2 linked regions of the Struthio camelus genome follow. The main gene of each other region encodes a partner of the protein of the gene in region 2 in a complex. Links are inferred from orthologs where the notes say so. Each region holds a gene or a part of one and is shown on either strand. Other genes may lie near its edges.

Evidence for each region.
Region 1: VAMP7 (region 2) and BET1L share a complex: the UniProt entries of both Homo sapiens proteins name them as parts of the SNARE complex. The link is inferred for Struthio camelus from reciprocal best matches to the Homo sapiens genes VAMP7 and BET1L.

What each region holds. Positions count from the first base shown.
Region 1 is NC_090946.1:7,681,564-7,696,310, reverse strand, and holds BET1L (BET1-like protein), read left to right. Parts: upstream 1-7,958; 5' UTR 7,959-8,151; coding exon 8,152-8,299; intron 8,300-8,740; coding exon 8,741-8,832; intron 8,833-9,561; coding exon 9,562-9,618; intron 9,619-11,512; coding exon 11,513-11,680; 3' UTR 11,681-13,818; downstream 13,819-14,747. Other genes in the region: RIC8A (synembryn-A), read right to left, coding at 1-533, 2,924-2,971, 6,384-6,467. UniProt on the Homo sapiens protein: Vesicle SNARE required for targeting and fusion of retrograde transport vesicles with the Golgi complex. Required for the integrity of the Golgi complex.
Region 2 is NC_090952.1:3,654,914-3,669,778, forward strand, and holds the start of VAMP7 (vesicle-associated membrane protein 7), read right to left. Parts: upstream 7,852-14,865; 5' UTR 7,729-7,851; intron 7,114-7,728; exon of another isoform or gene 7,028-7,113; intron 6,789-7,027; exon of another isoform or gene 6,617-6,788; intron 6,160-6,616; exon of another isoform or gene 6,091-6,159; intron 5,029-6,090; exon of another isoform or gene 4,927-5,028; intron 3,467-4,926; exon of another isoform or gene 3,419-3,466; intron 977-3,418; exon of another isoform or gene 953-976; intron 750-952; 5' UTR 737-749; coding exon 591-736; intron 1-590. Other genes in the region: DNA-directed RNA polymerases I and III subunit RPAC2, read left to right, coding at 7,923-7,961, 8,847-8,954, 13,182-13,279, 14,644-14,720. UniProt on the Homo sapiens protein: Involved in the targeting and/or fusion of transport vesicles to their target membrane during transport of proteins from the early endosome to the lysosome. Required for heterotypic fusion of late endosomes with lysosomes and homotypic lysosomal fusion.

The sequences.
Region 1 (14,747 bases), on a different chromosome or scaffold from region 2:
CGAGGCAAAGGTGGGAGAAGTCCCTCCTCGGCGGCAACTTCATACGGGTCCATCCACTTCACACCGAGGGTCAGCTCCAGGGTATCTGTCATCAGGCTGATGCCCCTGAGCTCTTGGGCTAGCTGCTGCCGGATATCCACTCTGAGCGCTGTCAGCAGGAACAGGAGACGCAGGTCAAAGAACTTGACTTCGTGGGGAAGGCTCCTCTCGTTGTACAATTTGATGCGCTTGGCCAGGCCAACCGCCAGCCGGGCTTCAGCTGTCAGCTCCTGTGCCCTAGGGCTGCTGAAGACAATGTTGCAGAGACATTTGAGGGATTCTAGGATCACATCCAAGTCTGGGACCTCTCGGATGAGCTCCTCTGAGTAATCAATGCCAGCATGCCTGGAGAGAGTCTTCAGGCCTTCCTTGGTGGTGAAAGGGTCAAGGCAGTATTTGTCTCGGGACAGGATACGGATGCTTTCCAAACATGTGACCTGGCAGGATGGCTGGAGCTCTCTTTCCAAGAACTCGATCAGCAGCTGGGCCATTTTCTGTGCAGAGGGAAACAAGTAATGCCTCACGCACGGACAGTTAACAGTGCTCCCCCACACACAGAAATACTGCCCTGTAATGCTCTGTCTTGGAAGAGGTGAACATCATCTAGAAACAGGCCTGCTACACAGCTCAGATTCAGATATGAGTTTTGGCAGAACTCAGGAGTGGTTGGCTCTGGCACCTGATCCTCACCCAGTTCAAGAAAGGATGCCCAGCACGAGACAAAATGGCTGGCAGAGGGTATCAAATGTAATAGGAGAGTACAAACAGGCAACTAGTTCTGACCAAGTGAACTACTGGTCCCTCCGCTGAGCCAGAGGAACTGACCGTATCGCTTCTTGCAAACACTACCTATTTCAGTGTCATCCACGGTTATGATGGTTTAGGCTAATAGTTTACTTGACAGCTGCAATAAACTAAGAGAGGGCAGGGTGAAAAAGGGTCTTACCCTTGGCTTCAATGAGGAGCAACAACCAAGTCAGTAGCAGCAGTCTAAGGCTCTGCACCCAAAGCTCTAAGATTAGGGAGGTGTCTGCTTTGGGTGCTCCAGAAACAGACTGACAAGTTTGAGAGACAGATCAGAAAACTGTTGAGGGAGGGAAAAAGGACCTAACTGGATTGAGAAGAGTGGGGAACGCCCTAGGAAAGGAGGTGAAAAGACCTCAGAAGATTTAAATAAAAAATACCGCCCTAATTCTCAGGGCTGCCTGGAGACCCAGATCCTCAGAAGGTATAGGCTGGCAGAGCTCCAGTAGCACTGGTTTACAATGCCTGAAGATCTAATCTTTCTGAATTAATGGTATCTTATGTGACAGCAAGCAGTGGCAGAGTCCAAGAACAAAGCTAATGCTTCACATAGCCAGGTGCATCTTGGTTATGTACAATAATACTCCACGTTACACTAGTAACTGTTCGTTACCCGTTGCGTAACGACTCATACCATGGTGAGGCAAGATTTCACTAGATCTCTCTAAGACAATACCATGTAAGAGCACACATTTTCCCATACATATTACAAGAGGAATCAAAACACCAGTGATTACAGGGTTTGCTATAGCTCAGTGTAATTGGCTTAATACAGCCTAATCAAAGATATTTCATAATAATAAAAAGACTGAGGACAGGAATGAAGGAACTGTACATTTTAGTTCTTAGCATGAGGCTTAATATGAGAACTGAACGAGCTTTACCCCCTTTGCACCCTTGCCACAAACTCATTTTCTCTTTCCAGCAGTCTTCATCCAGAAAACTTTGCCTGCACGAGTGAAGCGTGTCTCACAATCACACCCTGGAGAAGGGAGAAAGTACAGCCATTCCTCTTCTCCTTCCATATGAGGAGACTGAAGCAGAGGAGTTAAAAAATATATATTCATAAGTGACCAAGGCCTCTGACTGAGTCAGGTTAAGACTTCAGAGCGTGTGCCCAGGTCTAAACCTTCAGAAGAACTGATCACCAGGAATAAGATGTGATGCTCAATAGATATCTCGTGGGACACACCCAAAAAGTGAAGTACCCAAGGCTGTCTGAACTGACAGCCTATCGGGCTCTCCTAGTTCAAACAGGAAGTCACTAACGAAGCAAAGGGCTCACATCTTCTCAGACCCAGTCCCTCGCTTCAGGCTGTAGTTGGAAAAACTTCACGTAGCATTAGCTGGCATTGGCACTGACAGAAGAGGTCCCTTTCTCCACCCCAGTTGCCTGGTTCATGCCTACTCCTGCTCCACTGCTGTGCTAACACAAGCATTAGTGCAACCAACCAATAAAATGGACCACAAAACTAATCCAGCTGGAAAATAACCCAGGCCAAAAAAATAAATAAATAAATTACTCTTTAGCCAGATCAGCCCACCGAACACGTTCAGTGTACAGCCATGCAAAGGCCTGCCCTGGCATGAGAGAGGACCCGCTGCAAGAATGAACATGCCCAGCCAGGAGTATTTCTCTCCTCTGAGTGCCAGATTATGCTATCTTAAAGTGTTTGTCAGTCTACAGCCTTAGCCATACGCTGCAGCTAACTCGCAGAGAAAGCACTTACCTGCTAGAGGCTTGCATGCTGCTATAATCTTTGCCTAGGGCACTCATACCATTTAGGCGAACACTTTTCATATACCTATGGCTGAGACTATGTGCAGCACTGAACCTAGAAGGGTCATTAAGGCTGGGAAGACGCTGCCCTTTATCCTAAAGCATCATGTGCTGATGGAAAAGCTGAGGCCAGATGCTTTGCGCACACCATTCCCTAGCCAAGTACTTCCCCAAGTCTGAAAAAAGCACTGACTTCTTTGCCTCTGGAATTCACTACCACCAAGCCGTGCTGCACTCAAGTATGGAGCAGCAGCAGATTTACCCACCCAATTACAGGAAGAAATCAAAGAGCATGCTTACCTTCCTGTCTTCCCGCTCCTCATCATCAAAGGTGAAGCACTGATATTTCTGTGGGGACAGAAGAGGTGGTGGGGGAAAAAAAAATTAAGCTCCAGCAATAGGTTAAAAACCTGCAGAACTGTTGAGCCCCCATCAGGAAAGGGTCACTCAGCTGGTAAGCAGCAGGTCTAAAACACTGGCAAAAGCAAGCACATCTTTTCAAGGACGGTCCTTACCAGTGGAGTGGCAGAGAATCAGCATGGCAAGGAGAGCCAGAGCATTTACAGGGGTCTAAGATATTCACAGGATGGTAGCAAGCAGTGGAAGTTCCTGAGAAATCAGACAGGACAACTTTCCTGCCACCGAGGTTTGAACTTGCTTGCTGTTTTTTCTCTCCAAGATCATCCTTCTTTAAGCAACTCAAAACTACGTGCTTCAGAATTAGCAGGGATGAATCTGGGTTGAATTGCACAGATATCGGCCATACCGTGAGGTCTGAAATGCTTTCATTGACCAAGATCCCCGTTATTCTGGAGGTCCCTGCCTCTCATTCATCTCCAGAAAACATTTGTGATGAATATTAACTGTTACACTTTCTTACTGGCTCTACAGTGGAGGCCTGAATGCCACGGGCCGAAGCTGTGCCCATCCGACTGACGGATTTATTTTTAAATACTGCAGGAGGAAAGTAGGTATTCATCGCAATCCAAATATACTGCAGTATTTTATCATTCCTCTGCTCAGTGTCACAACAGCACATCCCAAGCTGTGCCAATACATTTTTTCCCCTTGATATTTATTGTTCCATTTCCTTACGGAAAGGAAGTACTGCCTCTTGTTATTTGCAAACAGATCCTTGTGTTCTTCATTCCCACAGTGTCTGGAAGTACAACTGTTTTTCAGCTCATGTTCTTTACACACAACTGATTAGCAAAGGTAAACACCCTTCTCCACATGGCGTCTCACAGGGTGCGCTTTACTGCCCTGCATTACTTTGCATCAGTACTTGAACTTGCACTTGCACTTGAACTCCACAAAACGTTGCATAAATATCCCCCACCAACTTGGGCGGCACTGCGGGGTGGGGAGGTAAACAAGTTCATCTGAAGTCTGCAGTTTCTTTCACGCAGCTCTCAATAAGCCAGGCTTCACAACAAGTACTGCAAAGAACGTATTGCTAACAGCAGGCATACAGAACAGCTCACTCCATCCTATTCACCTTTCTGCTTCTGCGAGCACTTCTGCCAGAGAGGTCCACAGATCAACCGTGCGGTGTAGGAGCTTTTCCTTTCACCAATGTGTTGTCTCACAAGTCACAGACAAGGACCGTTAGATTAGTCAGTCCGATCTCCTGCATAAGACGGTCCCAGAACTTTACCCATTATGGTCTTCTGGGAGAAGAAGCGTAAGGAGGGTCAATATTTATATAGCTAGACAGAGGTTTGCGGATGTCATTATCTCCATCATTTTCTTAACGCTCCCCATCACCTCTTTTGCCAAGTTACATTGCACAGATGCATTTACGAAGCTGTTCAATAAAGACAATTAGTCTTACCACAAACAATCATTCTTATAACCTGGACTAATTCTTCTCCTGAGTGATTGCAGTTCACCGAGATCCCATCCGTATGTCTGAATAGCTCAGCTTGTCTCCTACGGTATGTATCACCTTATGGTTCTCCTGCCCATGAGCTGCTCAGTTGTCCAACTGTATCTCATTCCCTGCTCACTGCAGTCAGTGATCGTCTGCACTGAGCTTTTGGAAATCACACGTGTTCCTTGTTAGCCTTGACTCATTCACTCTGCAAGCATAATCTCCTCTGTTGTTCACTGCCTTTTACACACAGGGCCAGCTCCTGGCTACTTGTAAGTAGACGATACAGTTTGCAGATCAACAGCGTCACAGTTACTAAGATCCCTGGGACAGCTTTGGCTTTTTTGGCCTAGAACAAAGAAGGATGGATACAGTGATGCAGACATGCCAGCTAAGAAACCTCGGTGCAGAAGCAGGACATCTGAATTCCTGTAAGCGCTGTGCCAGGGGCTGGCCTTCCATGCTTTAGCGCTGTGAGTTGGTACGCACACAGGCTGTAGCACCACATTACAAGGAACTGGCAGTTCAGTCCTCGAACCGGTGTGCTCTGAAGACAGCGCCATGTCACTTGTTCTTTTCCTTTCCCATCACATCTTTTTTGCAAGTTCCTGTCATCTCATTCGTATGGGTTGCTGCAATACCTGTGGTTTTGCTTCAGTTGGAGTATCCTCCCGTATTTCATTCCTGGCAACCAAGAATCGACCGTATCTATAATAGCAAACTGCATTCCAAAAACATGCCCAGGAAGTGATACCTTACTATCAGTTTTTGCAGTGAAAACTCATGTAGAGAAGTTGCTTAGTTTATTTGTAGTTTCCTATCCTCTTTGACTGCTCCATTTCTTCTAGACCGACTAGCAAAATCACTGACATTCTCACAAGTTTCCTACGCTTGATACACCGACAAAGGATCCAGCTGGAGGAATTCTACCAAGAACGTCTTAAATTTGACACATTAAACTCCCTCTTTGCTCTCCTGATTTCTTCAGCATTACGTCCACTGTAGGTGACTGTAATCCTGCTGACCGTCTTTCTAGTGGGGACCTTCTGCTTCTTAGTTCAGATTTCCAATGTTTCGAAAGTGACTGCTGGGAATAGTTGCACATTTTCCCCGTGCACACTTGTGCACAATACTTGCAGTTTTTCCCTGCTTGCTTCCCACCTGCTTAAGAACAGTGCAGAATGAGTCATGTAGATCTGCAGGGCCAGCCCTATCCTGGTGGAAATGCTCTAAGAGATATTTCCCTGACAGCTAGAGTCTATTTCAAAAGGGAACTACCCCCACAGATCATCTTTGCTGCTTTAAGGCTAGGAACACTTCCATTTCTGCTTCCTAGCCGTTCTTTTCATATCCTATATTCATTTTTTATCCTTTTCTTATTGTTAGCTTTCAGATCAGGCACCTGTACCTAATTCCAGCAGTCCATCCATGTCCACCGCTGGTGATCTTTTGCTTGCAAATCACAGCCACTATTTCACCTGCAGCTCCTCCCTGGGCCTCAGTTCTATTACCTCCAAACCTTGCTTTAACCTAAAAGCTCCTCCTACTTCATATTCATGCTGATGTTTATTTCCCTACCATGCTTTACTTGTGCTCCGGATAATAAAAAATGCTTTCTATGTGCTTTAATTCCAGTACACCAAGGAAATAAGACGAAGAGATGCTGCTTAGCTGTTCCTTACCAAAACACGAAATACAAAACCGTCTGCAAACAAAAGATGAAGCGGTCTACAACATTTTTACGGCAGTAATGCAGAGACAGATGCGCTTAGAGGAGACAGACGGGGGACCGCCGGATGGCACAGAAATCCCACAACATGGCCAACCTGCTTCTAGGCTCACAAACAGAAGCAGCTGACGTCAGGCAGAGGTTTGGTGCTCACTCACCTCCTGGTTGTAGACCTGAAGCACCTTGAGAACTGTGTCTTGCTCCCCGCTTTCCACCGTGGCTACCACAGTCCTCAGCTCCATTATCTCACCAGCTCAGCTGCTGATGGAGGCGAAACAGGCAGGAAGGGGAGCGAGGGCACTTCCAGAGCTCCTGGACAACGCTGATGCGAAGGGACCTTGATACACAGAGAACCGAGGGAGTGAGAAAGGGGTGGGGGAAAGGAAGGAGGGAAGGGGGGAGAAGAAAATCCACACACAAAACAAAACCCCCAAAACACAAGTGGGATCGCTCACTCCGCTGCGTCCATAAAAGCAGAGCAGATAAGATAACGCAAGCAGAACCAGGCGCTAGCTCCCTCTCCCTCTAATCCTGTCTTCTTCTCTTTGCCTCCCAACATTTAACATCTGCCCTCCCAGCACAGCACTCAGGAAAACCTTCCCCCCACCCAGCCAGAGGATTAACATAGAACAGATAACAGCAGCTCCCTGAAATAGCTCTCTGCCTCCTCCTCCTCTGGCTGTCCTGATTTCTGTTACTGCCCAGGAGCAGGGGGGAGGGAAAAAAAAAAAAAAAACAGACTCCTGTGGAGTAAAAAGGGATGGAGAGGAAAGCAAGGCAGAGAGGCAAATACCATCCTGGCTCACTTAAGACTGCCTTTTAAGGTGGTGAAAAAGGTAGAAATCATTAGGATTTTTGCCGAACCTGTTGAAGGGGATAACCCCGTGCACCGGGGCCCTCGGTGCCTGCGTTTTGGAAAGATCAGGGCAGACACACCGCGTACGCCTCGAAACCACACATCCGGATGACGGCTGGCCTGCTTGAGACCCTCAGCAGACAAGGTCCTTCACGGTAAGGGCGTGAACGAGCAGATGCGGGTCTACAAGCGTGAGCCAGGACAGATGCTGTGTCTCCGGCGCTGCGCTTCCCTGCGGCTTTGGGGGCAGAAAAAGCAAGAGCGGGCTGCAGCACTTCTCATTTTTGCTTCACTCCCCCCCCTCCCCTCCTTCCTCGTTTAAGTTCCCTCCGCGCCATTCCTGCGCCCGCCGAGGCCCCTCCGAGCCCTTCCCCTCCCTCCCTGCCTCCGCGGGAGCCGGCGGCGGCGAGCGGAGCGCAGTTACCTGCCCCTGCGGACCCGTCCCTGCCCCGCCGCCCCCGGCGGGCTTCGCGGGTGAACCGCGGCGCCTGGCCCGGGGCTGGGCGGGCGGCCTCCGCCTCTCGGGGCGCTACGTGAGGCCAAAGGGAAGCCGCGCCTCCATTTCTCCCCTCCCCGTCCCCGGGTTTTCTCTCACAAGTTCACTCGGGGAGAGGGCGGAGCGGGGGGGGACACCGCGAGCGCCCCAACGCCGGCGCCGAGGAGGAAGAGGAAGGAGCCTGCGTCGCGCTCTCCCCCCCCCCCCCCCCCCCGCCAAAACGGCGGCGGTGGCGGCGGCGGCCATTTTGTAGAGGCGGGGGGCCGGCGGGGCTCCGCCTGCGAGGCGGGCCCGCACCGCCGCCTCCCGCCGGGGCCGGGCGCCGTCATGGCGGAGTGGGGCCGAGGTGAGGGGGAAGAGGGGAACGGGCCAAGCCGGGCCGGGTTGGAGGTTCCCTTCTGCCCGCTGCCCTGTGGGGTGCGGCGCGCTGCCACCGCCGCCATTTGGGGGATCGCCGCCGTCGCCGCCATTTGGGGGATCGCCGCCTCGGGGCCCGCGGGGGACGGCGCGGCGCGGGGTGACAGCGTCGGTAGCGCCTCCCCCCCCCACCGGCGACTGCTTGTGGCCCCCCGAAATGCTGGCGGAAAGGGTCGCGCTTCTCGCCGGCCCTTGCGGGGATGCCGGCGGGGCTGCCTGGGCAATGACGAGGGGAGGTGTTGGGGGACAGAAAAACCAGCGAAGCCCAGAAGCGCTTTTACAGCCTGACCCCGCTGCAGGGAAGGGTAAAAAAAAAAAAAAAAAACAAACTGGCCTTTTCCTTCCTTTAGCCAAAGTAGCGTTCTGTGGAGATGCGCCCTGTCGCTGGTGCATGGGACAACGCGCGTCCCCCAAGCGAGGGCGTTGAGGGCTACTGGCGCGCCTCCGCGCTTTTTTAGAGCTACTTTTGGCGGCTAAAGCCCCCCGGCACGTTTCAGGATTTCTTTCCCGAGGGCTCTGGCCCTTCCTTTCGGTGGAAGAGCTTGGGGGGGGAGGGAGGGCGTTTCATGGCGGTCGCCATCCGTCCCCTGCGCCGTGGGATGCGGGAAGCGCGAAGGCGGCTGAAACGGCCCGTCCGGAGCGCCGCAGCGACCCGTCCCACAGCGAACTCGCTCTCCTCCTGGGGCGAGCGAACATGCTGCCACTTGTAAGTGGGACCGATAAAACCCTTTCTCTTTTTGTGCCAGGTCAGAGTCCGAGCACCGTGGAGGATATGTTAGATGCCGAGAACAAGCGTATGGCAGACAGTCTAGCCAGCAAGGTCACCAGGCTGAAATCGGTGAGTTGCTGAGTTCGCATCCGGGGCTGCGGTAAATGAAGTTTACCTGGGCTTCAGTTGCCTGCGTTGTTCGTCTTCCTCACAGCGCCTTGTGGGAGACGCAAACCTCTGGCCGATACAGAGGGCTTCCTCTTTATAAGCAGCTCTTAAGAGAATGTTGTAGTGGATCTAATAGTCAACTTTCCCTAGTGAAAAGCGGCATCAGGTAAGGCGTTTTAGGCACAGAGAGAAACCTGAGAGATGCACAGAGGAGTGTTGCTAAGTGCATCTCCTCTGGAAGAAAAGTCACAATAAAATGACAAGCTACTTTTGAAAAATACCCAGGTATGTACGCATGTGGTGTTCTAAAAGTTAGTTTGCCCCTGCTAACGTCAAGTACTTTGATTTAGAACTTAGTGTAAATCAGTGATTAGTATTATAGCAGGTAGGACTGATTTCTGCTGTTGTGAATATTTAAATGCTTGTGTCATATATATGAAGCTTCTGTCTGATAGTAATGCTTTACTTCCAGTGCTATAGAGCAAAATCATTTAAACAGTCATCAACGGAAATGAGAATCCTGTTCTGTCATTGTACCAAACAAGGCTCTGTAACTCTATACAGGAGGCAGGGGGAGGTGGTGGCTTGCTCTTCTATTTGCGTTTCAAATTTTTCCAGCTTTGGATGCGCTAGAGGTGGTCTCCATGTTAAAAGTTCATTAATACCTGTTTCCTCCCTCATCCTGTATAGCTGGCTCTGGATATTGACAAAGATGCTGATGAACAAAACCATTACCTGGATGGCATGGTAAGAAAGCAATGAAACGTAAAAACCATGGTTTTTTTGGGGGGGCTAGCTCTCAAGCAGTTACCTTATTTGTGAAAGTTAATAGCAGTTCAGTAAAGGAGAAAAAGTTAGATTTTCCCGTTGGCAAGCCACATAATTCAACTAAACCCGCTTACTGTGGGTTTATTGATAAATAAACATTAGCTGCTCATACCGCTTTGAATGGGCAGCATAGCCAGGTATCTAGCATCTGGAAACACCCACGTAGGACAGTGTACTCCAGCAATACAGATGGAGATTACCTACTTACTGGGATTAAAGACCTGCCTCCTGTAGCTAATACTGGGAGATGGGCCTATTCCTCGGTTACTTCTGTGATTTTTGGTAATGTTGTATAAATCTGTCAGGATTACTCACTGTAATCTCTGAAACACAGAATAGCTGTCAGGGTTCACTGATGTCTTTGGAAGGAGCAAGGCTCGCGCTCAGAGTGCAATCAGGTTGTTAGGTTCCCTGTTCTGTTATCATTCTGCTTTAATTTCTAGAGGTAACATAAACATCGCATGCACAATGGCTGATAAAACCAAAGTCACTTTCCGGAGTAATCTGCCTCTTAAGCTTTGGTTGCTGATGGAGAATCCCCGTGCTGTGGGGAAAGGCCAGGATGACCGATTACTATATTAGTGCCTAGAAAATATATTATCATTTAAGGTCAGAAAACAAGGTAAGGTTTCTCTTGCCTCTAGATTTTCCCTATCAAATTAAATATTCCTATATTTAGGTCGCACTGTTAGTTTCTGCAGCGTTACCTAAATTGAAATACCTTAAAAAGTTATGTAGCACTTGCAGAGGAAAGACTTGTAGCAGAGGCAGTAGCAGAGGGCTTACCTGCTGAGGCTTTTTGGGAGAAACATAACTCATTAACTGAACTGTGAGAGGAAGGGAATCCCACACAGCTATTTGAGAAGAAGGTTAGCACAGTAACACTGCTGCTTTGAGAGACTTTTCTGCACATGCTGCATTTTTGACAACTGGTAGGTGGACTGGAGAGAAGATAATTGTGGCATTGAAGCCAATTGAGTCAAAGATGTGAGCTCAGCTGGAATCTTAATAGCAGCACACAGTGACAGTGTTGCAGTATCTGAAATGGATACTTAACTCAGCCAGGAAATTAAGGCGACTGGAGAATCAAAGTAAAAGATGTTATGGCAAAGAGCTTAAAGGAGAAGTCCTAAATAAACATGAAATTATGCTTCTGTTAGGGGAGCTTTTCAAAGATTTCGGGAGAAACATGAGTAGAAGCTACAAATAATGCATGAATAAGGAAAGCAGGCCAGGAGTCAAAATTAAAATGACTGAACTGCATTAATTTGACAGTTGTTTGCCGGTATCTGACAAAAAGTTTTACATGCATGCCATCCCATTCTAAAGAAAAAGTAGAACTAAGGGAAATGAATTGCACCTTCTTCTCTACTTCTGAGCTAGTCCCAACATGCTATGAATCGACGTTAACTTCATGGAGAGACATTTCCTTCGGATTAAGTGTTCACTTGTAGAGTTGCCATTAACAAGCTGTTCCAGGCAGAATAAGCTGCACAGGTGCAATTAAACAGTGCAGTAAGAGATGATTTTACAACAGTTTAAAACATGTTAGGAAACTTTTTTTGCATTTGGAGTAGAACTTTTCCTATCCCTCTTGTGTGACTGGTTTGAGCACTGTGGGAATGGTGCTGTTGCTGGAGTCCGAGCACAGGAGTGAAAGAACTTTCTGAGAGAAACATGATTGTGGGTGTGGGGAGATAGGCAGTTACTGTGCAGCTACCTATTCAAATGTTTTTCAATCACTAAGGGAAGTTCTTCAGGAATAGCCTTTCTTGTTTATAATGTCTCCATTTTGCCTTTCTTTCTTCTTCAGGATTCAGATTTTATGAGTGTGACCGGCCTGCTGACTGGCAGCGTGAAGCGTTTCTCCACCATGACGCGGTCAGGGAGGGACAATCGCAAGTTACTCTGTTACGTTTCTGCAGGACTGATTGTTGTCTTCTTCATCCTCTACTATCTCGTGTCGAAAGCAGGGACTTGAGCATGGTTTTCATGCCAGGAATTTTACAGACCAAAAATCATGTGACGATTGATGGACTTATTCAAAGCCCTTTGCAGTCTGCCCTGTTGTGGAGTTTTTGAGGCATTCCAAACAGTCCAAATAACTTTTCTGTTCCTCAGCTTACTGTCATTGATCTGACTGGTCTTGGACATCTCTTTGTAAAATGAGTATGTTTCAATCTAAACTGATTTTCACATGTAAAATGATTTTGATGTTGTTAATGCTTAAGCCTTCATCTCTTGCCTTGTTGCCCGTGTCCTTCAGCCTATTTTCAAAGGCTGCTTTTGTGTTACCCACATTACTGATATTCCCTACTAGGCTTGTGAAGAGTTATGTCAGACACAATTCAGAGATTTGTCAGTGCTCCGAAGTTTAATAAACGAGCAGAAGTCCAGAAGCTGCAGAGTTGAGGATGCTGATTTATGAGATTTGGAGGTATGAACTTGAGACTTATATTCCAGCTTAGCCACTCGGCTCATGCACGGGCTCAGTTTCACCTTGACTTGGAGGCACATTAATATCATTGGTGTCACTGGGCTGGAATTAAGTTCGTACAGCTTTGAAATTCAACCAGCGGTAGATCTGGACCCTGATACACTATAATTGTTGCAGTGACGAGTTGCAGAGGAGCAAGACTTTACCTGAGTGATAGCTTGGCTTTATTATCCTTCTAGGTGAAGTTGAGGGTAGACACTGCAGGAAAAGAAGGGCCAAAGTCCTTAAGTTGCTGTTATTTGCACACGTATAATGTTTTTCCACACGCTTGAAAATACACTCCCGTAGACTGCTAAGGCTGTATGAAAGTTCCCATATCAACTTCCCCTCCAGTCGTCTTAAGATCATTTGCTTCAGGCCTCATGCAGTTTATTGTCGTTATTACAGTATCCCTGTACTACAGCCCTTTGGAAAGACACTGCGCAAATAAAAATAGAGGTTGTGGACAAGTTAAACTGCATCTTGTTGAGGTGATGGTTGGAGGACAGGGAAGGATTTGACCTGAGGGTTGGTGGATGTATTTATTTAAGTAGATGGTAACCTAAGAAACTCTAACTTGCTGTGCTGTCCGTTGTGCTTCTGGGATTCCTGCCTGAAATGTTTGTGGGAGATGTGTGGGAAAGCACATCCATACGAGTTTTGTTTATAAAGCAGTCGTTCCCAATGAACATGCAGTGCATGCCAGATTTCCTCTCCTGAAGCAGGGCACGTAACTCTTATGTCTCAGAAGGCTGAGAGTATCGCACCTGGAAACTCCAACTTCCCTTCACCCTCCTTTCCTTTCAGTGGGCCGATCAGCCTCTCACTTACGACACTACCCCATATGCATTCTTCCGTAGCGGAGTTATTTAAGTCTATCTCTAATTATAGCGAAAGATCTGTAACTTTTAAAATACTAGGCCTGTTGGAAGAAGAAACAAACAAAACCCACCTCTTTCTCTTTTCAGAGGAAGCCCTCGCTACCTATTATATAAACCTTTTACTATACAAAGCAGCTGTACAAAGGTACTGTGTTTCATATAGTCTCTTTTCTGTACCACGTGCTGATGTGATCTGGTTTTCCTTGTTGGAATTCTTTGCTTATTTTGTTCTCTCATCCTCCTGTAACGACTACCTCTCCAGGACTAAAGACTTCCTCCTCTTTTACAATCTTTTTTTCTAACAAGTGTTTATTCATCAGTCCCTGTATGTTTCATTTGGCCTTGACATTGTATCTGTAGGAATTCCTTTCTGCTTGGGCTAAACTGGGTCTAGATCTAAACAGACTGTGCTGTCCTTTGCTTAAACTGTATCAGACTTTTAACAGAGTACTTTCATAATTTGATTGTGTGTCGTCTTCCCAAGTTTGGGGAAGAAGGGGCAGTGAAGGTGAGTAGGAAAGGAGGCAGCAACGACTTTCTCTGGTTTTTGTTTCTGCTTCTCTGGTAAGATGCGGCAGTTCCAAACTCTTTTTGCACTTGGAAGAATGATGAATCGCTTGGGTGAATCGCTGGACTCTTGTTTCGATTTTCTGAAGTGGATCACTTCTGCTGAGAGACCTCTGAAACAGCCTGGTCTTCATAGTAGTGGCGGTTTCGGTTTGCTTTTTATGTTCTAAATAAAAATATGTTTTTAGAATAGTCTGGCCAGGTGTTTTTTTTTTTTTCCTCTTGCGCTTATGTCTTAGCAAGATTAAAAACCAAGATCAGATCATTCTGTTATATTTAAATTGTACAGAACCTGCTGCCTCAGAGCCAAATGTAATTGTTATCTTAAGAAACAGTGTACGTGCAATGAACTATACAGAGATCTGACGAAAGCTGCACTAGCTCAGAAGTAGCCAGTCATTCATTAGCACTGTACAACCTTGTTTAAGCCTCCGAAACTTACAGTGGCAGTTACAATTAGAATCTTGCACACCATTAAATGTTCTAAGGACATGCACTATCCAAGAAAAGTATGAGTTTAGAAATGACAAAATTCAGATTTAAAAAAAAAATACTCACAAACAGAGCAATTAAACGCTCACAGCAGAACTCCTGTCCAGTATTCTATGTCAATCACAAACCTCCAGTATAGATATTTGTATACCTGTATAAATTAGGAAGAATGTCTTTTCAGACTGACAGGAATCCACTTGTTACCACCTTCATTATTTTTCCTTAATGTAAATAATTTGGGGACTTGATTGTGGCTTTTAGGCACAGCCCATTAAAAGAGAGAACGCAGAGGGACAGTGTTTCAGGCTGCACCTTGGGGGAGAAGCAAATGCAGCCCCAGGAGCAGCAGGCTCTCTCAACATGGGGGCGTAAAGATGCTCCGCTCTCCTGTGTGAGTGTGTAGGAAGGACTTCACTGTTTCCATGGGGCAGTGTTTTCCTGGGATTGCTCTCTGGATGGCCTGCGTCTGCCCTCAGCCTGGGCTCTGCTTTGAGGTGAGGAACGCTACTTTTCCAGGGTTAAGTGAGGAATTGGGATCCAAAGCCTATTTTGTTTAGCACAATCAGGTGAATACGTGCTGCTGGAGCTCTTTGGCGTTGGTTATGCTTTTGATTTTGGTGCTCTCCTACAGT
Region 2 (14,865 bases):
CATTTACTTTTCGGCACAGGAACTTGGTATAACCTCAGGAGATGCTATGTTTGAACCCTCATTCCATCAACTTTGATCAGGGGCTGTTCAGAGATCTATACAAGCCTGGGAAAAATGCTTCCGTCTAACTGGATCTGTGGTGGCTTAGGGTCACTCTACAAGATATTGGCAACATGACTTATCTTAAAGGAACCAGCATCCACAAATAATCTGAGATGGGTGGCATCTTTTCCTAAAACTGCATCCAAGCCTCAAAAGCCAGTAAAAACTCCACAAGCCAAATTCCAAATACCAGCAAGAAAAACCCCAATAGCTTCTGGCACCCATAGCAGAACACTTTCCAATTCACTTGGAAAGTTCTATCAAGATAGAAAATTTGATTTCATATCAACTGCCTCAATGCTTACTACTTAAACTAAACTCAAGTCTTGGTTATTTTGCAAAAATCTCGGGAAATAAGTAGCCATTGAGCTACTGCACGTGCAATCAGCATACTAACACAGCTAAAAGTTTTGTAAAAAACTGAAGTGGGCTAGATTTCCACTGTATGTTCAAGTTTCTCCTCCTGTTTCCAGAGACGCATTACTCACTTCCCATGAGAATAGGTCAGTTTGTTGTTTTCGGACGGTATCTTAGCCAGAATCTGCTCCGTCACCTCCAGAAAGTTTCCTCCACACCAGGCATGTTTGGCAAGGATGGTTGTGCCCCTTGCAACAACAGCAAACAGGATAGCCATGACTTCACACTATCTAGAATTAAAAAAAAAAGTGTATTAGATTTGCATTATTTGGCAGAAAATACATTAGTCTTAACAGTATTCTCTCAACTCTCAGCAAAATGGGATGGAGGCCTAAGCACTTTCAATACTTCTATAATTTTCAGCAAGCCATCTTCCTGTTCTCTCATTTCTTCTTTTGGGTCACGTTCAGGATCACAGCAAGATTATACTAACCTCTAGAAGGTGTTTTTTTGCAATTGTGTCCCCTACAGTCAAGGAACCCATAATAAGATTTGTCTACATTCTTTCTACCTAGATTTCTAAATATTAGTGGATTTTCAGCTCTTCTACTGATCCTTCAGATTTTGCTTGTTTCTCTTCGAAGAAACCGCCTGCAGCCAGTAAGTTGCAGTTCAGAAAGCAACTGTCTTGCAAGTATGCTAACAGGAACTAATTACACAGACAAATCCACCACCCCTAACATATGACTTCAGTTTGATGGTAATCGGAACTAAGACACCACTCTGAAAGCTGAAGTAGAGAAGCTACCACCTGCTTAGAGTCACACCAGACACATCCACTTTTTATAGTCGAGACACTCATGAGTGTATGCTGTTCCAAGACCTCTATAAAAGCACATAATCAGTTTGCAAATGTGCAGTCTTGCTTTGAAAAATGCAGATTATCTACAGCCATACTTCTTTCCCAAGGTGACATTCTTGCACATGTATCAAACTGTACAGACTACTGAATGCAAGGGCTTGAGGGCTGCAGTTCTGTGAAGCTTCCAGAGTTGGAAAAAATGCATGCTTTCATATAAGAGGGCACACTCAATCAGCTCAGGTATCACCACATTAATCTACTCAAACTCAAGATTTAAAATGTAAAGCCACATGTCAGATTGCAGCTGTGACATCTGCTCAGCTGATTCCAGTACATCCATAAGCCTCTTTTCTGCTTAGAAAAGACTTTGGAAGACTTCTGACCCTGCAAGGAAATCTCATTTTTCACTTTGCACTTGATACTGCCTCTTGTTTTGCGTCCAGAAACCACTGCATTCTGCCTAGAAGGATTATACAGCTATTTTAGTGCAACTGAGTAACTTGGAAGCTTCTCTATGAATCAATGCAACAGGACTGAAACAACGGTTTAAACTTTAGGATCCAAAGAGCACTTGTAGAAAGACTGTGAACACAGACTATGCCCAGTGAGACTTTCTACCCATCTGGCACTGAACGGTATGACCTCTCAGTCTCAGCAAGGCCTTCTGTATCAATGATCAATCCTGCCAGGCACTGCGCAGACAGCTCTTCCCTGAACGTCTTGTAATTTAATTTGACCTGATGCACAACACAGCAGTAATGGAAGAGGTGAAGTAAGTGCAGAACTGTTAACAAGACCATGAAGTTATAATACAGTCACTACTGCCGTTTTCACTGCTGCAATGCTCACAGTTCTTTTTAATCAGGCAGAACTTAACCGCTTCAGGCTTGGCCATCAGCAGTCACACAACTTCCCAGAGGCACAAGAGCTCAACAGCTGAGGGCAAAAGAGCAAGCTTATGAACTTGTTCAGAAGATACTCCATGGCTATGCCACAACCTTCAACTCAACCACACAAGAGCACCGAGGTATTCGGAACTGGCGTTACAAAAGGGAGCAGAAGGCAAAGAATTAATTTGACACCAGCAAGCAAAGCAGGAATCGTAATAAAAGCTCTCAAAGGACACTGCTTCGGAGTATAGCACCCAACCAAACGCACCTCCCGAAAGAGAACTGACAGGGGAAGTTCATGGCATCAGCAAAGGGGAAGAAAGAACACATAACACACCACCTCACCCCTTTCAGGCATGAATTCTCAGATAAGCTGTTCTCCTTCACTCTTTCTGAAGAGTCAGACAAGCGATAAGCATTAAACCAAATGGTGGAAGGAAGCACCAGAGCACTCAGCAGCAGTCCCCCTCCATCACATTTGCTTCTTTCACTTCCTTCTGGCTTAAAGCTGACACTCTCCAGACCTGTCTGTGTGCCATTTCTACCAAGGACAGGGGAAGTCTCCCTTGCGCTACTTTGCATTGCTTGACTTGGCGCAGTCACAGGTACACTGACTCGCAGCCTCACACCTGCCCTCTGACATTAAAGAGTCTTGTCATGACAGAAGAAAAAACACGTTATTTTACATCTAAAGATCTGAATATGAACAGCTCAGAAAGGTGATCTTTAAAGGTCAGGACAGATATTGTTTAATTAACCATATAAGCACTATTAGCATCTACTTGAAGACGACTGTAGAAGTTACAGAATACGCAAGAGAAAGGGTAACGTGGAAAGTATGTAAGGGGGGGGGAAAAAAAAAAAGAACTCATCAGCCCAGGAAAAGATACCCAAGCAGAAAATGTAAAGCAAAAAAGCTGCTCTTAGTCACAATTTCCAATACAGAACTGAGGAGAATGTTCTTGAGAACAGGATCCAGCAGAAGGAAGTATTTCTTTACACACAGTGCACCCTCAAACTTATTCAGAGAGAGTATCATGGAGAAAGAGTTCACATGAACTTTTCAGAGACTGACAAATTTACAGAAGAAAGAATCACTATTAAACAAATACCAGGCAAGCAACAGCTCAGAGCCAAGTTCATCGCATCTCTTCTATACTTCCATGCTTCCTGTTAGTCACTATGGCAAATAGTAGGTAGGACCTACCTTTGGTCTTACTCAGTACAGCCATTCTTAACACAGTTCAGGAGTTCTCTTTTCCGGGAGAAGAATTAGGACAAACAAGTAATTTCTTTAATCAGCAGGGCAGGTGGCCAGTGAAGTCAAATCTATGGTCCAGCCCCAGGGGAGGTTATGATTCCTACAATGCTTTAGCTTTAGTACTGCTCTTCCCCATCTCACTGCCCATCCGTATGATTATGAGCTCTTCCCATAGACAGACAGTTAACAGTTATACAAAAGCTTAAAGTCCCAGCGTTACCAGTTCAGAGCAAACGGATTAAAGAGGTTTAAAAGCATTCTTCCAAGGCATCCTAACATCTCTTCCACTACTTCATCAAGCTTGACTAGCCAGAGGAAAAAAGAGAGACAAGCAGAGAGTCAAAGCCATTCGTAAAGGCTCTTTGAAGCCTGACCACAACCTTTTCCTGCCAGTATCACTGAACTAGACTGCCAGATCACATCTTGCCTAGAGTGTTTCAGAGCTACCCCAGTAAAGAAAATACAAACTTTCTTCCAGAAAGCTGTACGTAGCACTCTACAGACTGGTCAACGTGCACATATCCAAATCACCTCAGGATACTCCTGTCACCGAGTGCTCCGACACCCTTTCACTGAAGACTTAAGCAGCCAACACCTTTTTTAAATCCAGCCTTGAATTGCTGTAGCAGCCACAAGCTGATAACAGAGCAGGAAAAGTAGTCTCCGGCGATATTTTGCTGCCTTTCGTCTTAACCTACTCTCAGCTCTTCAAAGCACATTGCTAGAGACAGACAAGTCTGAAGGTCACAAAGTGAGACTTCAGTGCTCTAAGCCAAGACTCACCTAACTTTAGTTAAACACAAGCTGAACAAATCAGTAAGTACAGGTCTCCCTCCACTGACCTGAGGAGACTAAAAGCTGATATGACACAGCACTATTTGCATCAAATACGAACAACCGGATAAGGACAAACAGAAGTAGGGATTACTCCAAGGTAAGCCATGAAGTAGCAAATAGTTTCTTGGAACCTTCCTGAAGGAACCACTACCTTTACACAAATAAGCTGAAGCAGAAGAGAAGCCAAGCCAAGCCAAAGCAAAAAGACCCAACAAGTCAAATTTATAGACAAATATGAAACAAAACTAGCCCTTGGATAACTCAAGTTAAAAGTTTAATCACACCAGAGACAAGAGCAGCCCAACAGCTGATTCTGATCTTGCAAAATCAAAACACCCCCAAAAACACACACCAATACTGTAAAACTGCCAGGCAACTGTTGCTAGTTTCCCTTGATTAAAGGGACAGCAGCTCATTCTTGTCTCTGATGAGGACACAGGGAGAGAGCACAAGCATCTTCCCATCAAAAACAAAGATCTGTGGCAAAAAAAAGAGGAGCATTAAGCATCAACAGGTATGCACAAGCAATTCTAGACAAGCTTAAACTGGTCACCTATCCCTCCCTTTAGCTTTGATCATTTTCAGGAATTTCAACAAAAATGAACTACACAACTCACTCTGTTCTGTTTTCTACTCACTCAACTCCTCTTCAGCAGGGTGCTAAGTCTCTTCAGGAGCCATCACCAATGCTTTTCCTACTTCCTACCAGGAAGGAACTGCTGGGCAGAAAGCACAGTTCTAAGAGTTTGCAACAAGGATTACAACAGCGCACTGATCTGCAACAATACTAACTGAAACAAGAGAAATGAATATAATCATGTCTGATCAGAGCCCCTGAGAGAGTCTGCAGTGTTTTGGCCAGCTCAGCAACATAACCAGAACAGTGTCAGCATGTGGTATAACACTAGGTCACAGCTGAGACTAAACAAACATGATTAAGCCTCTTGAGCAATCAGGTGACTGACAAATATCAGGAAACAAGTCTTTTCGCATAGAAAAAGAGAATAGGACCAATACAAAGGACCAGTTTAAAAAAAACACACAAAACAAAACACATGCACACATCTGTGAAGGATCAGTAGTTTGCCATACAGCAACTAACCTCAGAACTACAAAGCCCACCCAAGCACAGAGATACCTTGATTCCCAAAATGAAGAACTCTAGGTTCAAATTGAGGATTCTAAAGTCCTTGCCACAACTTTAAGAGTCTCCACCCTTTTAATATAGGCTATTTGTAGAGCTCTTCGTGAGACAGGAGTTCAGTAGGGCTGTTACCAACAGGATACAAGTAAGATGATGCTAGCTAGCTAGCTGAGACTTCAGAAGCTATCCATACAGCTTCACCAGAAGTCAGTAATTTGGCTCTGCAATCCTGTGTAAGCAGGGAAACCAACTGACTGAAATCAAATTTCAGCCTTACTTAGTAGTCAACAGCCACATTCTCCCAGCTACTCTCCTCTCAGCTTTGCTGGAAGCTGATTAAAAGGAGTAAAACAAACTTAACAATGAGCACATTTCTCTAAGCAGTGTCTCATCCAGCTCTTAGGAGAAGATACTTGTGCTTTCTTTTAAAGAAAAAAAAACAAACTGCTAAACTTCTGGAAAACATCTTTCCTCATAAGCTACAAGAGAGTCTGGAATTATATCCACTGAAGTCAACTACTTCATATAATCTCTTCATATAACCTAGAAATCAGAGTTAGTGTCTGTCTAAACTTAAGATAGTTAATAGCTGAAAACAACCATGAGCAAGCCTTCCTAAAGGACAGTTTGAACTCACAGAAATACCAGGCAGGCCTTACATCAAAAGGCTCCAGGGCAGGAGGGAAAGGCTGTATTCCTCAGCCACCTAGAAAACACCAGACCCAAAAAGCTCCTTAAGATGTGCCCAAAGCATCAGGTACAGCTTAAGTACTAAAGGGGAGTTGAGTTTTGCATTCATACATTAAGGACTAAATGCAAGATGTATCACACTGCTATGTGCAAGTTCTCCTGTGATATTTGACAGAAGGGCCCAGAAAAGTGTGCAGCATCTTAGAGAATGAAAAATATACAGGCTCAGTCTGCAATGCAATGTTTAAAGTTTCAGCCATGAAGTCTCCAAATATAACAAACGGCCTATTATTTTCAAGTGAGATTAAAAAAAAACACACACAGAACTTGTTTGGTGCTCACACTTCACTAACGACCGAGAATAAACTGTCTGATGGTAGCTAAGATAGCTGGGGCAAGAGCTCAACCCAGAGAAACTGCACCCATTCTCTATCACTCAGCAGTACTGCCCTTACCAGCCAGAGGGGACTCACCAGTGCTGCTTGATCAAAGCATTCAAAAGCTTCAGGGCTAAGTGAGCGAGGAAGTTACTGCTTATATTTCCAGAAATGCACTGTACAGAAAGCAAGGGGCATCACAGTACTACTGGCTTTAAACCTGAAATAAGTTAAGGTGTTGCAACTCTGTAAGTTGCAAGCTGCCTGGCTGCAATGAAAAGACCGTTTGAGTAGAGTGACTTCAGCAGAAAGCAGTCTAGACTTCCCTTTAACCCTTCCTTCACTTCCCTAAGCAATCATTTCTTTTTTTAATTTTTAAAAATAGTTTAGGGGTATTCCAACTTTTAAGTCCCAGAGCTTATTTGTTCATTTTAAGCCTGAGAAGCACACACTTCATGCACTAACTTAACCGAACAGTTTAGCTTCCTCTCTGCCCACACAGCTTACTCCAGGTGCCTCTTCTGGTTCATCACTAGGAATACAAGTCATTAGGCAAGATTAATCCAGTCTCTCTTCCAGGCCCACCACCTTTTCTGGAAGGCAACATCACACGTTTTACAAGAGGGAGTAAAGAAACAACATCACAGCTCTCGACTAAACAGCACACTAAGGAGGTAACACAGAACAGCTGAAACACATCCTAGAGCATGATTACTCACAGCCTCTCCCCCAACCCTCCTATCACAAGCACCGCTGCAGATTATTCATCAGCACCTAACCTTTAAGACCCTCATCACCTGAGTTACACCAGCAACGCCACAGCCCAGACGTTAACTAAAGCAGGCAGCTGTGAAGGCAGCCCTCCCCCCCACCCCCCCGGGGCGGACCGGGCCGCTCCAGGCCGAGCTGGGCAGGCGGCCCTGCCCCTGGCACCCGACCCCGCTCAGGAGCCCCCAGGTTTCAGGGCCGAGACGAGGAGGTGCGTTAAGGCCCGGGGGGGGGGGGGAAGGGGGAACGGGACCTGCCGAGGAAGCAGCGCGGCCCTGTGGCAGCCCCAGACACCCCCCGCCGCCTGCCCGGGCGGGCCCGGCCCAGGCCGCCTCCCCGGAGGGCTCCGCTCTGGCCCCGGCCCGCGCTCCCCCCCCCCCCGGCTGCTCTCCCGGAGGGGGGGCGGGGCGGGAAGAGGCACCGGGCGCGGCCCCGCTCACCGGCCGGCGCGGACGAGGCGCCGCGCTCGCAGGCGCCTCCGCCCGCCGCGCTCTTATCCGCCCTGCGGCTGCCCCGCCGCGCGTCGCCCGCGCGCACTTCCGGCGCGGCGGCGCCGCGCGGCCCCCTGGGGCTTGTAGTTCCCGCCGCGGCCGCGCTGCCTCCTGGGAGCTGTAGTTCGCGGGCCGGCGCGGCCATGGCGGAGGAGGGCGAGAAGAAGGCCGTGCTGGAGGTGGTGAGTGCCGCGGCGGGCGGCGGCGGCGGCGGCTCGGGGCTGGCCGGGGCCGGGGCCGGGGCAGGTCGGAGGGGTCGCTCCCGCCGCGCAGGGAGGCAGGGGCGCTCGGCCAGGGGCGCTCGGCCAGGGGCGCTCGGCCAGGGGCGCTCGGCCAGGGGCGGGCGGGCCCCGCCGTGTGGCGGCCTGCGTCGTTTGACTTGCGCGCCTTGCGGTGCTGCTGTTTGAGGCTCCCTTTACTGCCCTGTAGCGAGCAGCGGCGGTGTCGCGTTAACGAGCTGGCCGAGAAGAGGCCAGGACTGGCGTTTTACAAAAGCAGCCTTGTTTGTCGGAGGTGGCTCGCTACGCGTTTGCGACCGCCAGGCCTCGGCTGGCTGTGCAGGCGCTGGCAGCGGGCCCCATCTGCTCGCTTGCACCCGTCCCGGGGTCGCTGGCCGGAGTTTGCTCCCTCCCTCCCTCCCTCCCTCCTTCCTTCCTTCCTTCCTTCCTCTCTGGTACCCGTTGCAGGCAGTGAAAGGCGCTAGATGGCACCACACTTCGCGCTAGCGGGGTTTGAGGCACCAAGCTGGCAGATGACAGCACGCGTGGCTACGGGGAGAGCTGCCACAGGATGGTCTGCTCTTCTGCGCGCCAGCCTCTCAGTCAAAAACAGGGGGAGCTGAGGACCGGGGCAGCTGTACAGCAGAAACAAATGGGCTCTTTTAAGTTTGTCTGGTTTTACAAGCTCCCTTCGGGGAGGACCTAGCACAACAGGTTTTCATAGTCTCTCAATCTGGGGGCTCCAAAACTATTCCTGATGCCGTGGCCTACCCTACAGAAGGAACTCCAGTCTCTAGGCAATAGTTGGGGTTTGTTTGTTTGTTTGTTTGTTTTACTTTCCGTTTTCAGGTTTTGCATGACCAAACTCTTGCCCCTGGTGTGTGCAAGCCGCGGGTTGAAAGCTGCTGTTGCAAGGAAGCCCGATCCTGCAAGTCTCACGTGATGAATGAAATGGAGGTTTGAAGCGCTGCAGTTATGAGAGAGGCCCTTGGCAGCAAACCAGGCTCTCAGAGGGAGGAATGCAGTACCGTAAAAAACCAGGAGAAGGCGTAGAGACTGTTATTGGTTCATACAGACTGAACCAGCAGAAGACTGTATATTCTAGCATAAAAGACAAATTATGCGTAAACAGCAGTTAGGATAGGAACAAGTGACTTGTAGGAACAAGTGACTTGCAGGAAGGGAACAGTCCTACTTCATATCCGATCCTGATCCCATATAGCTCAGTGCTGTGCTAATATATACACCACTGCAGTACCTAGGCACCAAATTCAATGCTAAATAATTCATCGTCATAAATCACAGCCTCCCTAAGCAGGAGAACTTTCTGAGGATGAGAGACTGTGGCTGAGGAGGTTGTCTGAGGCGTGGGTGGCCAGGCCTCCAGGGCTGTATCCTGACCTTGCTGGGAGGGTATACCTTGGATAACCTTGGGCTTTTCCATCTCTGCGGTCCGTGAAACATTTTAATTTGATCAGTCCTGCGTTTCAGATCCCAAAAGCTGCTTTGTGATCTCGTCAGTTCTTCCTTCTTCCTGTACCATAATACAAGAACAACTTGGTAATATTATTGGCAAGTCAGCATGTAACCAAAGACAAAAGACTCCAGAAGAGCAAAATTCTCTATCCCACAGGAGTCAGGGCTTTCTTCCAGGTTGGTTCGTAGGAGAAGGAGTTTTCATGTGATGGGTAGTTTGGTACATAAACACCTCCTGGGTGAGATGTGTAAGAACTCCCTGAAAAATCTCAGCTTTCTGCCTCCAGCTGCAGGCTTGATTGGTGCCGGGACCAGAAAGGACTCCATCCTTCAGGAGGCGTGTTCTCAGAGGGAAGGTGGCTGTTTTCCTCTGAAGCATCAGATAGCATCTATGCTATCATCATAACATGACTAGGTGGGCCAATAGCTTGATAAGAAAGGAAGCTTACATTCTGGCTGAGATCCAGAATTGTGTCAGAGGACTCTTCACAGGAAAGAGGAGAGAGAAATCAAATCTCTTGTGAAGCGAACTTGTTCAACACAGAGTATTTCTTTCAGCTGCCTGAAACAGCCGTGCTCTGGCTTTTGTCTACCCGATCAATGCAGTGGGTGCGCAGATTGCAGTAAGCAGGCAGAGAAAGCTAAACTCATGGTAGCGTCTTGCATGGTGGATCGACTTCTGCATCTCTGCCACATGTTGCTTCTCTTAAGCACTTGCTGCAGACTCATAAGTTAATGCAGCAATTGTACCAGAGATATGTCCTGTCCTGTTTCTCACCTTCCCGTGCAGATGTTTTTCTTCAACTCTGCGAATGAGTCTGAAGTCAGTGCAACTTCTAGTGCTGTATGTTAAAGTCCCAGTCATCCTGTTTTTCATCCTATCTTTTTTATACAACACTGTAACTCAACTGTAAACGTTTGATCTCAGCCTGGAAAAGCATCTCTTGGCTCTTGCCTGTACATCTGTTTGTTGTGTTTGTTCCCCTTTTTGTCCAGGGGAAGAGTCTAATAGGTGAAGCCTTGATGCAGGATTCAGGAAATCTAACTGCAGCATCAGACTTTGTCACTGAGACTGACTCTGAGCAAACTGTTGAATCACCCAGTGCCTCAGTTTCCCATCTGTAGGATGGCGCTACTGTCCTTTTCTCCTCCGTGCTCTGACTACAGTGGGCAGGTAGAAGTGCTGTGTGGATTGCTCGCTCCACAGGACTTTTTAGCCCAAAGGCAGGATAATGCAAGTACAGCTGCCTTGTTTGGGTCCATATGCAGTACAGCTGTATTTATGCAGTGCTGAGTTCATTACTGCAGATCGTGCCTGTTGTCATTAGAAGTGGAGGTGCTGGAGAGGACTGTATGAAGACACCGGAGCAGTTCCGGGCAGGGCCAGGGTTGTGTCTGAGCTAAGGAGTATGCGACAGTTGCGTGCTCGGGCTTCTCACCCATCCTATGCCCAAACTGCAAGCGTGTCACTGTCCCAGTGAACAGAAATGTACCTGTCTTGGGGGGGTGAGGGACACTTGTGATTTTGGCACGTGCCCAGGCACACTTCTAATCCTGGGATGGGGTGCAGGAAGCAAACTGTGGACCATGTGACCTGTCCTGGCAGGCAGGTGACTCCTGAGTTAGTCTGTTCTTGTATGAGCCTTTAGCCTTTGGAAGAAAACAAGCTTTTAAGTACGATTGGTGATATTAATCTTAATAAATGTATTCTTGGAAAAGCCTTACAGGAGGGTAGACTAAGGCCAGCAGCTGGTTCTGGGAAGAAGGAGGGAGGTGTTGAGTCTAGCAACTGGAAGAGCTTGCAAGGTGTCTCATCCATGCCACTGACTGCCCAAATGGCCTTTGGCAAGTCACTTATACGCTGTCTTTCCGCACCAAGGGAAAGTGTTTTTGCTACTACCTTATTTTCCCTGTCAGTAAGACTTAGTGCTTTGATCGTGGGAATGGATTGCAAGATGCTGGGAGATGACAGAGACCATATCAGTCCAGCGTCTTCGTTGTCATCGTAACATTGCTGCATCACATCTACCCTTCTGTGAGATCTGGTGCTTCGGGAGCCTGCCCTTGAGTTGTGCTGCAGGCCTGGGTGAACTCTCCTCCTCGGAAATCAGTCTGCATCCCCCCTTCTGAAATGCTGAGTCAATTCCTTGTGGGGGTTGTACCTGCAGAAGGAGGAATGGGACTGCTGTGCAGTGTTGCTACACAGCAGGAAATGTGAGGGGTTATAAAACTCCTGGAGCGGTTGAGGATTTGGCTGCGGGCAGGATGTAAAGAGTTCAGCACTCGTCTGGGCCTGGCTCCACACTTAACCTTGAAACCTCTCGATGCTGCTGAGAGAGGAAATGGTTGGGGGCTGTCGGGCCATGTCAGGCTCCACGGTGGCTGTGCTGAGCCTGCGGAAAGGTCAGAGGATCTTCAGCCCTCTGACAGCAGAACAATTAATTAAGTGACTTATTGGTTTTGGAGGGGATCCCAAACGAGCCTGCTTAGGAAGTGCTAGCTGGCAGTGCTGTTTGCAAGCACTTGAGCCAAAAGCAGCAGGAGGATCAGAGGTTGACTTCTGGCTGCAGGCATTGCTGGGTTCATTTTGTGTGCGGTTCAGCACCCTTGAGGCTTGCTGGTAGGTGCCTGAAGTCTCAAAGGCTCCCCAGGCACATCCTAAGCGTATGAATTAGGACTTGCACATAGCAACTTGTGGCAAAGTTTCCTTTGTTTTCAAGCTGAGATGAGATTTCTCTGCTGACAAGCAGTGCCCCCCCCTCCCCCCGCCCCTTGAGTTTTTTTGATTGTCCCTCTCATTCATGTCTAGCCACCTGCTAATGATGAGACCTGGCAACACATCAACCTGAACAGTTGGTCCCACCCACTTTGCATCATGGATCCTGAAGGCAGGCCGGCTACAGACTTTATTTGGGCTCTTCTCCTCTGCCTTGAAGAAGAAGGATGCAAAGGCACTTTGATATCGAGGGAAGTGTTTGCCTCGACTCTGTAATTTTGCACCTTTCCCTCTGCTGTGGAACTGCTCTTCCCTCTGCTGCTCACACTGCAGCATCTGAGATGTGAGCTGTGGAGATGGCCCAGAAAGACCTGCAAAGTCCTCCCTCATATCAGCTGAGCTGGGGTTTCTCTTGGCCCTGGGACCAGCCTCTGCCGCTCTGAATGACCCCAAACACATTTCTAATGAAGTGCCGTCATAAGTAGGTTCTTTTTGGATGTTCTCTCCCTCTTACATTTTTTTAGGAAGTTTGCCTTGCCTTGTGTGGTGGTATTTCTGTGTTGGGATAGCTTTTAGAGCTTACAGGGCTCTAGGTACAGTTTAAGAGCATTCCTGATTCTTCCCTGAGAGACTGTCCTTGTGGGGGCATCACCCAGCTGGATCCTTAAGAGACTTCTGACACTCTCTGATTGTAGGTACTTGTTTTTTGTTAAATTGTACTTTTAAGACTCCGTGCATCGAAAGTACATTACTTGTCTGCAGGTAGTTAGCCATGTATGACCTGGGCTCACACACAGAGTTCCCTAGAAGCAGGCCCTGCATAGAGAGCCCTGTTTCAGGAAACAGCACTGACTATCATTTTCTCAGCCCCTGCTCACGTAACTGATGCAGCTCAATTAGTTGGACACAGTAATTTATTCTTCACTGTAGGCTTGACCTTCATTACCTCTGAAAGTACCTTACAGCATCTCTTCTTCCCCAATTTGCGGCAGGTCCAGGCAGATGGGACAGATGGAAACTGTGTCACATTTGTGTTGCATGATGAGGATCACACACTTGGCAACTCCCTCCGATACATGGTCATGAAGAAGTAAGTGAAGTCCCTGTGGTGTCCCGCATCGCTGAGCGTCCCTCTCTCTCTTACCCTGGCCTTCTCCTTACTGACCCGCCTCTTAATTTTTGCTAGAGCAAGGCATATGCTCAGAAACTACCTCAATTCACATCTTTTAGGTTCTTTACATTAGGCATGCGATGTCAAAGGTCCTCACAGGGCCTGATCCTGGTCTGTGGACTGACTTCCCAGCTTGACCTCAGACCTATCTCAACCCCGTGAACTTGCCTGATGCCCTGGGCTCCAGGCTGCCCCCAGCTGCCATCTCCAGGCTTGCCCCACTCACTTGCTGTGGGGTGGTGGGATGGGGGGGCCCTGACTGGTGAGGCCCCTGCCCTGCCAGCTGTGTTACCAAGTGTGGCTCCTTGTCCCTTAGGGAGCAGCCAGCCCTCATTACTCTCTAGCAGTTAATTATGGAGGAAATTTAACATGTGATGTGCAAAAGTCTTCTGAAAGTCTTTGGCCGTTGGTAAAATGATGCCCAAATCCATGCAAGTGCATGTGGTCAGAGAGTACCTCTCTCTCTTCCTGGGACGTGTCCCTTCAGAAGTGAGGGTGGGAGTAGCTAGTATTAAGCAAATTGGTAATCTTTCATGCCCGCTTGGAGACACATTGCTGATACTGGGAATTATTTGGTTGACTTCATCAAAATATACAAATAGGGTCACACTGGTCGTGCAGTTTTATTGAATTGGGCAGCACTGAGGGTTTGTGAAGAGTTCCTTGTAACCCTCAGAAGAATTAGAGCAGGGAGTTGAATCCATCATCTCAAATGACAGCTATATTGCAAATGTCATGTGAATTCCTCGGATAAATCATCATGATGAGAAAAGCAGCAAACTCTTTGCAAGGGGCTGTTCTCTCTGCTAAAAACACAGATGTTCTCCCAAGTGGAGCCACCTCTTGGTAGAGGCAGATGCCATGCAGCCTGCAAACCATCTCAGTAAATCCTTGCAGCGCCCTAGTCCCTTCAACCGCTTTTGCCCTGCAGAAGTACAACAAATTGTTGTACGGGGAAGTTTCCAAGCAGCCAGGATCCCTGGTTTTACCTTTTCAGGCCTGCTGCTGTGCAGTGTCCGGGTAGTACCTAGAAGAGTGCCAGCTCTGTCCTTCCCCTGCAAAGCTCCAGCCACAGCTTAGAGAGGGATGAGGAATGTGAATAAGACTGCATAGGTAGTTTCCCTTCTGTGTACCCCTCCCATAAGACCCCTTTGCTTTAGAAACATCTTGAGACCCAGCGGGTTTGCTAGCTGTTGGCGTTGCTTGTGCCTCTGACTTCCCTGAGATTTGCTGTGAACTTGCCTGGGCTTCACTGCTGTCTTTCTCTCTCTCCTCTCCTGCAGCCCGGATGTGGAGTTCTGTGGTTACTGCATCACTCACCCCTCTGAAAGCAAGATTAACTTCCGGATCCAGACTAGGGGTATGGGCACATGCATTGCCTTTTTGTCTGGGGTACTTTTGTGAGATTCCCCCCCGCTCATGTCCGGGCTCAACCATGGGTTGTAAAAAAGGAAGGAAAGCACTCTTCTCCTCCTCTACTGAGCCGTTATGCTACAGTTTTTGTG